Sus scrofa: one gene and its partner. The protein of the gene in region 1 interacts with the protein of each later gene in a biochemical or structural test. Links are inferred from orthologs where the notes say so. Each region holds a gene or a part of one and is shown in the gene's direction. Other genes may lie near its edges.

Evidence for each region.
Region 2: the proteins of EIF2AK2 (region 1) and PRKRA form a complex in vitro, tested with the Homo sapiens proteins (3 studies listed by BioGRID and IntAct, with this or other methods). The link is inferred for Sus scrofa from reciprocal best matches to the Homo sapiens genes EIF2AK2 and PRKRA.

Annotation. Positions count from the first base shown.
Region 1 is NC_010445.4:103,039,483-103,043,890, forward strand, and holds the start of EIF2AK2 (interferon-induced, double-stranded RNA-activated protein kinase), read left to right. Parts: upstream 1-1,546; 5' UTR 1,547-1,872; intron 1,873-4,408.
Region 2 is NC_010457.5:84,146,448-84,150,098, reverse strand, and holds part of PRKRA (interferon-inducible double-stranded RNA-dependent protein kinase activator A), read left to right. Parts: intron 1-1,178; coding exon 1,179-1,257; intron 1,258-2,286; coding exon 2,287-2,404; intron 2,405-3,651. UniProt on the Homo sapiens protein: Activates EIF2AK2/PKR in the absence of double-stranded RNA (dsRNA), leading to phosphorylation of EIF2S1/EFI2-alpha and inhibition of translation and induction of apoptosis.

The DNA of each region.
Region 1 (4,408 bases):
CGGATCGTTAACCCACTGAGCAAAGGGCAGGGACCGAACTCGCAACCTCATGGTTCCTAGTCGGATTCGTTAACCACTGCGCACGATGGGAACTCCCGCATATGCACACCATTGTAATGGAAAAGAATGTCAATGAGGACCTGCTGTTAGCACAGGGAACTCTACTTAATATTCGGTGATAAGCTATAAGGGAAAAGAATCTAATAGAGAATGGTTATGCATATATGTATACCTGAATCACTTTGTTGTACAGGAGAAATTATCACAACATTACAACTCAACTACAGTTCAATAAAGCTTTAAAAGAACAACAACAAAAATTTATATAGTATTTCTGCTACCCTGTAGTATTAGACTCTGCACCTGATTTTTGCTCTATCAGCCCTGAGGCTTACAAGAAGTAAGAAGATTTTCCCCTCAACCATAAAAATTTGTGGCCTCTGACCATGCTTGAGCTTGTCATTTTCTTTCCTTAAGCTCTTGGACAGTTCAGAGGCTTCAAAAAGTCAGAAAACTTGTCATTGCTACTGCCATTGTGGCTGTCACAGTCACCCCACACCCACGAAGCTGGTAAGTGGACTCCTTCAAAGAGCCACTAAAGCTAGAGCTTTTTGCGACCTCAAAGGGCACAGAAAGATGGCTCTGCCTCCTACCTGCCTTCCAAACTCCCATCAGTGTGCCACATTGGGGGAACTTAAATCAAGGAAAATGCAGTGTTTAGCCATTGATATCCTGTCATACAGGGGGTAGAAAAGAGAAGTGGGAAAGGACTCCTGGAGTCAATGGCCAATAGGTAATGTGTACCTGAAGTCCACCTTGGGACCACCTCTCTTACTCACCCTAGCTAGGATGCTGAGGTACAGACTCTTGGTTCTAATTCTGGCTCCTCAGCTTACTAGTTGTTACTTCTCTGTGCCTCAGGCCTGTTTTCTCATCTGTTAAATGGGCATAATAATGGACCTACCTTGCAGAACTGTTGTGAGGTAAGTCCTCAGCACTCCTCAGTCATTTGGTCGAGGCACCAGTATTACTTTGGGAAGGTGTCATAGTCCATTAGGTGAGTAGGTTTTTTTTTTTTTTTTTTTTTTTTTACAAATCTGGGATTTCTGGTAAGAACTTTGGTCGAAACCTCCAGGAGGTTGCGCGGGGAGCAAGTGGCTCTAACTGATGGACTGGCTGGTACAAAGGCTGGCAAGTATCGTTGAATGAATGGATGGATGGCTGGAAACAGACTGAAGGGAGATTATGCCAGCAGACCTCTTCATTCCCAGCCTGGTGAATGTGAGGAAGAGGCAGGGTGCTTTGGTGGTTAAGAGTAATAGAATCCTGCTTTGTTCTGGGACAGTTAATTTGCTCAGTTTCTAATGTAAAATGGAGCTGATGACATCCTTCCCCGCAACGCCGTCCCAAATGTTGCGTTGAAGAGCCCAGTTCAGGGAGCGCCCGCCACGCAGTGGGCCTCGGAGACCTCAAGGTCCTCCCCACATCCCGGCGGACTGATCCCGCCACGGGGGCCGGAAGCAGCATGAGAAGACCAGGTCAGGCCGCAGGGACCCGGACGCGCTCTACCGCGCAGCAGCGGCCGGCGGGTGCCCAGCAGGCTCCGCACTGCCGCCCGCGGGAACTCCGGGTGCAGGCGCCAGTGGCGCGCGATCCCGGAGCCTGCGCGGACAAGTGCTGACTGGTGCGGGAGGGGCCCGTGCGGCGGGGGAAGAAGGCGGAGTCCGCGGGGAAAACGAAACTGAGAGTGAGCGGCCCAGATCCCACCAGGCTTCACAGACTGCAGCAGCGCGGGTGAGTGGCGAGGGGCCGACAACCAGGAGCCACAAGGGCGCTCGCCATCCTGCATCCCCAGCCTGGGACTGGACCCTGGTAAGACCCCTGACCCCTGAGCCGCTGCATTGGGAGCGCTGTCCGAGGCCTTAGGTGGGGCGTTTGCTGAATTTGGGGAGGGACTATGCAGCGCGGTGGGAACCAAAGCCATTCATCTCCCGCGAAGATCTTTTTAGCAGAGCAAGTAATCACTTGCCCAGACGCAGGCTGGGGGCAGGGACAACCAGTGGAAAACGAAAAAGCCCCATCCTTGAGAGACAACAGATGGGAGATACGGAGGCCTGAATTGCCCAAAAAATTGGCTAAATAATCCCTGACCAAAAGTCTTTTGCCTGGACTGTCGCAACTGTTTCCCAAAAGCCCATCTTTAGCCCCCCCCCCCCAGCTCCAACTCCATTCCCACCCCCACCCCCGCACCGCCTCTCAACACCACGGGAACCTGACTTCACGTCCGAACAAGACAACCCCTTTCTGCTCCCCAGTAGCTTCCCATCTCATCAGAATCCCACACAGTGTTTTTTAGTGCTCCTTCCATTCTTGACCACGCAGGCCTTTTTGATGTTCCTGGAGCACAGCTCAGCACTATCTGCTGCCTCTAGGCCTTTGCACTGCCTGTGTCTTCTTGGAAGGTTCTTCTTCCAGATACCTGTGTGGACCAGTCCTTCGTGTTATTCTCACTTCCTCCAATATCACTTTATCAGAGCAGCCTTCCAGGAACAACCTGCATGTGAAAGAAGCCCCACTCTTCCCTTGCTGTCCCCCTTATTCTGCCTTGGTTTTCAATATAGTACTTATCATCCTGTGACACTTTTTATTGGGTTTGTCCATATGCCTCCACTAGTAAGTTCACAAGAGTAGGGTTTTGTTCACTAGTATAACCTAGTACATAATAGATATTCCTTATGTCTTTATTTAATGAGTGGTAGTTAATACATTCTCTTTTGAGTTCCAGAGTATGAGACCCGCCAATCAGAAGTTAAGAGACTCCCTGCTGTCCCTTAGGAACTTAGAATCTTGAGCAGTTTATGCCCTTGTTCTTCTCTTTCCGTATTTGAACCTGAAGATCCGTAACACTGGATGTGTAGTTTATTCATTTAATTCATCAGGTACTAGTTGAATGTTGTTTGTCAAGCAGTGTTCAGACCCTGGAGGGGGCTTGACCCGTAAGTGTTCACAGTCTGCCGTAAGGGAATCAAGGCACAGGCAAAGTAACTTTTGGGCAAGAGTAAGATGGACACATAACATTTTTAGTGATTATGATGGAATTTTCTTTTAGGAAAATGGTAACATATATTCAAATGAGATGTAGTTGAAAGGAAACCTGCTGTTTCTTTTTTTCCAAACTCATAAGTACTTATTTCAAACAGGCCAATTGAGCACCTTATTGGTTTACACCTATGTTTTGCTTAAATTCAAACTGGCTTGTCATTTTGAACATCAGCAGTTATGTAGAGGTAAAAGTTCTGTGGATTTAGGGCATTCCATGGAACTTTGGTTTAAATAATTGCTAAGGACTCTTCCATAACTGGTGTTCTGAGATCTATGGCCTCCTGCAATTGGATGCATGGTCTCATGGTTGTGACTAAACTAAATGACACTTTGGTTCCTAAAAATAATGACACAGCTGCAGATCCTTATCTGAAACCCTTAGGTCAGGTATGTCCTGGTACTCAGGGACTTATGGATTTTTTAAAAACTAGTAAGTAATTTAATGCTCTTAGAGTGGAGCAGCAGTCTATCATAAAACATTTCTGCAGTGAAATGTATAAATGTTGTCTGCAGACAACAAAGTGTGGTAAAGACTCTAAATAACTCATGTTAGTTCAGGTCTAGATGGGGGGCTACACACTGACCGAAACCAAATCAAATGAAAATAAAGTAAACCTCAGTTTTCAGTGCTTTTTGGAATTGGGGATTGTAGGCCAGGAGCACCACTCACTGAGGGGCATTGCTGTGGGAGACCCTGCTGGATGCTTTTTGTCTGATTGACTCTTCACAACAACCTGTGAATCAGGTGTTTTCATTCCTCTTTTCTGGTCACAAATTAAAGGTTAAGAAAGGTGCCTATCTCAGATCTATGTGGCTTGACAGCCTAGCTCTCTCTATAACACTAAGTGGTGTTGCAAAGATGGTGCCTTTGCTCAGATCTAAGCCCTTCCAGCCACCAGCATTGCTCCCCTAAACCACTGCAGCAGCCTCGACTTAGTCTCCTGACCTCTACTCATGCTCTGCTTGTTTTTTCCACAACTGCCCCCATGCTCTGTTCTCTGCATAGCATCAGATTGATCATTAAAGACATAAATCCAATCACATCACCCCTGTGCTGAGAACCCTCAGCTTCCCATTACAAGTGGAATAACATCCACAGTTCATTCATGGTCTGTGTGCTGTGGCACCTGCCTCCCTCTCTGACTCACTTCCCACTTGCTCCCCTTGTTCACTGTGCAGCAGTCTCCTTGGCCTTTTTGCTATCTCTCCAGAAGCCATCATGGTGCCCGCCTTAGGGTTTCCTCTGCCTGAGATGAACCCCCCCCCCATATCTAAGTGTGATGGGCTTTCTCATCATCTAGGCTTG
Region 2 (3,651 bases), on another chromosome or scaffold:
AGTGAATCACATCAGCCTATGTAAAGCTTGAAATTCTGGCAGATGGAAAAGAACTTTGAGGAAATGACAGTAACTCAACCCATTGGTCATGGAAGAAATGACTCTTCAGCTGCCTAGGTGGTAATCACCTGGAATACAGCTTATTCCCGTTAGACGTCCATCACCCGAGTAACTAGTAATTTCACACTACTTAGAAGAGGTTGTTCTCTTTTCCCTAATCAGTCTCCACATACTGAAATCAGATTCATGCCAGCCATCTATTTTATGCAGGATACTTATAAATCTTAGGAGGATTGTCCTAGCATGGAGCAGATGATAGATTAAACCAAGTCTTCCATAATTATCTGGGTTAAAAAGCTAGATTTGGGAGTTTCCATCGTGGCGCAGAGGAAACGAATCCAACTAAGAACCATCAGGTTGTGGGTTCGATCCCTGGCCTTGCTCGGTGAGTTAAGGATCCGGTGTTGCCGTGAGCTGTGGTGTAGGTCGCAGACACGGCTCAGATCTGGCGTTGCTGTTGCTGTGGCTCTGGCGTAGGCCGGCAGCTACAGTTCCGATTAGACCCCCAGCCTGGGAATCTCCACATGCCTTGGGTACAGCCCTTTTAAGGGCTGTAACAAAAACTAGATTTATGATCTGTATGGTTTATATCACCAGGCTGAATTTCCTGGCTATTTGTTAGTTTTCCGTTTTTGTGTGGTTGGAACAAGAATATGCTTTCTTAAATATATTTTTCATTGAGCATCTGTTATATGTAAAGCACTGCAAGGCTTATAAAGATAAGTAATACTTAGACCCTACTATCAAGGATTTCACAGTCTGGCCAAGGGAGAGGCGTGGTGAGGGATAGACAATTACATGTGTTGTTAAGACTATATAACATAAGATAAAAATAATTTGGTTGAGGAAAGGTCAAACCAAATGTCAAAATGGTTCAAAGAAGGGAGAAATCACGTTCCACTGGGGCGAAAGAACAGGCTTCTGAAAAGAAATAGTGTTGAAGTGTACCTTGGAAGATGGATAGATTAGATTCTCATAAAAGAGGAAGGCAAGAAGGGCATTCCATGTCAAAGGAAATACAAGAGGAAAGGTGTGGAGAGCTGAATGGAAAATGCTTGTCCTTTATTTAATAACTGGGGAAATTCCTTTGTTTTATAATACTTTATAAAAATGTTTAGCTTTGCAGTTCCTGACCCCTTAATGCCTGACCCTTCCAAGCAACCAAAGAACCAGCTTAATCCTATTGGTTCATTACAGGTAAGTGGCACAGCTTTTCCATACTTAACTTTCTGTCTACTGAAAAAAATGTTGATATTATCACAGGGGTCAAAAAGGAACTCATATTTTTAAGATTAGATGGTATAATATTTTGTGTTCCAAGTTATGGTCATTAGATATTAAAGCATTAACTTGAAATTATTTTCCTATTTAAATATTTACATTTTGGATTTTCTCCCATATACAGTATCTGCCTTTGGTTTGTGGAATTCTCATTTGAGATCAACAGGACCTCAGTGCACATGGGTAGAGTGTTTTATATTTTTAGAATATTTCTTGCCACTCTTGTGACAAATCTCTCTACTTCTGTTGAGACAGAAGACTTTGTAAAGAACCCAAGTTGAGTTACCTAACTCAAGAAAAAGGAAGTTATCTGCTTTTTTGCTAATTCTACCAAAACAATATATTCAGCTTTGAATTTGTGTGTGCAGAAGATCCTTCTTACGGATTATCCATGTGCTCTGTTGGACAAGTCCCCTCCCTGTTATCCAACCAGTCTTGTGGTCTCTTTCCTGCTCTAAGAGTTTTTCTGTAGTTCTCTTCCCCTTTGCTCCTCACATTGTTCGGGTGTGTGTGTTTGCTGTCTGCTCATCTGCTCTTGATCGAATGCAGTCAGTTAGGCAGCTGTGTGTATGGAAGGTTCTAGCTAGAAGGGGAGGCTTTCGGAACTGATGGCCACGAGTCCTATAGATGTTCTCTTGGATGTTCCCAAAGTGGGTGAAAGTAACTTTTCTTTCGAATTCTTTGATGTCAGCTCACTACAGCCTAATGGGAGAACATCCTTCACAGCAGGAAACTGCTTCAGTTTTAGGATTATGGGCCTATCAGATAGAAAATGTGGAATATCTCTGGGAAATAGAGGGTCTTCTCTCATTTTTTTGTTGCCGAATATCATTATTCTTTGCAAACATGTAAATAGAAATGAGAGCAAAATCATGAAAGAATATGTATGTGATTGAGCCATTACATAGTAAAAATGACTACTAAAGCCTCATCTCAATTTTCTAGGAATTGGCTATTCATCATGGCTGGAGACTTCCAGAATATACCCTTTCCCAGGAGGGAGGACCTGCGCACAAGAGAGAATATACCACAATTTGCAGGCTAGAATCATTCATGGAAACTGGTACTTATTTATTCTTACCCTCATACAATTGAAGACATTTGAAATATTTTGAGATGACAAATGATCATAGAAATTTATGCTGTGATTTTTCAAATATTCCTCTGGAGAAAAAAAAATTGACACACTCCTAGTCTACTGTCTCTAACTTTCTCTAGTTGAGTCTAAGTGTAAATATTTGGCTTAAGAATACTTGTCGTAGAGTTCTCATTGTGGCTCAGCAGGTTAAGAACTCGACTATTATCCATGAGGATGCCAGTTCAATCCTTGGCTTCACTCAGTGGGTTAAGGATCTGGCGGTACTGTGAGCTGTGATGTAGGTTACAGACGCAACTCGGATCTGGCATTGCTGTGGCTATGGTGTAGACCAGCAGCTGCAGCTCCAATTTGACCCCTAGGAACTTCCATATGCCACAGGTGCAGCCCTAAAAAAAAAAAAAAGAAGAAGAATACTTGTCCTTCTTATTTTGTTATTTTTTAAAATCATGGGTTGGTAATGGAAAGACAAATAATCAACTATTTAAACAATCTTTGTTGATATGATAGTGACTTAAAAGTCATTTTGGAGAAAAAAGCAGTAGTAAATATCTTGGAGTTTCAATAGCTATTCTAGAAGATAGGAAGACTAGGAGTAGATATTTTTTTTCTTTTTAGGGCCGCACCTGCAGCATATAGCAGTTCCCAGGCTAGGGGTTGAATGGGAGCTACAGCTGCTGGCCTCTGCCACAGCCACACCAGATCTGAAGCTGCATCCTACACCACAGCTCACGGCAATGCCAGATCCCTAACCCACTGAGCAAGGCCAGGGATCTAGTCAGGTTCTTAACTTGCTGAGCCACAATGGGAATTCCGAAAACAAGATGATTCATAAGAGGCTGATGGCAAAAAAATTGCGATGAAATAAAAATAAAATAGTAATTAACCTTTTGAATTACAGCAACCTCTGTGCTCTATAGGCCATAAACTATGAGAAAAAAAGTCACTTAATAAAGCGAGGATTCCTTAATAGTGAGGATTCCTATTTTAACTTCTCCAGCCTGTTTTTATCCTTTTTAAAGTGGCTTGAAATGGATGTTACCTTGGGTGGATATTAGTTTCAAGTAATAGGCAAGCATTTGCCCTCAAGGTTCAGTGTGGGCCAGGGCAGAAAACACTGGGCCAGAAGTAGGAACCTCAGCTTCCATTCTTTTTTTTTTTTGACCATTTCTTGGGCCACTCCCGCGACATATGGAGGTTCCCAAGCTAGGGGT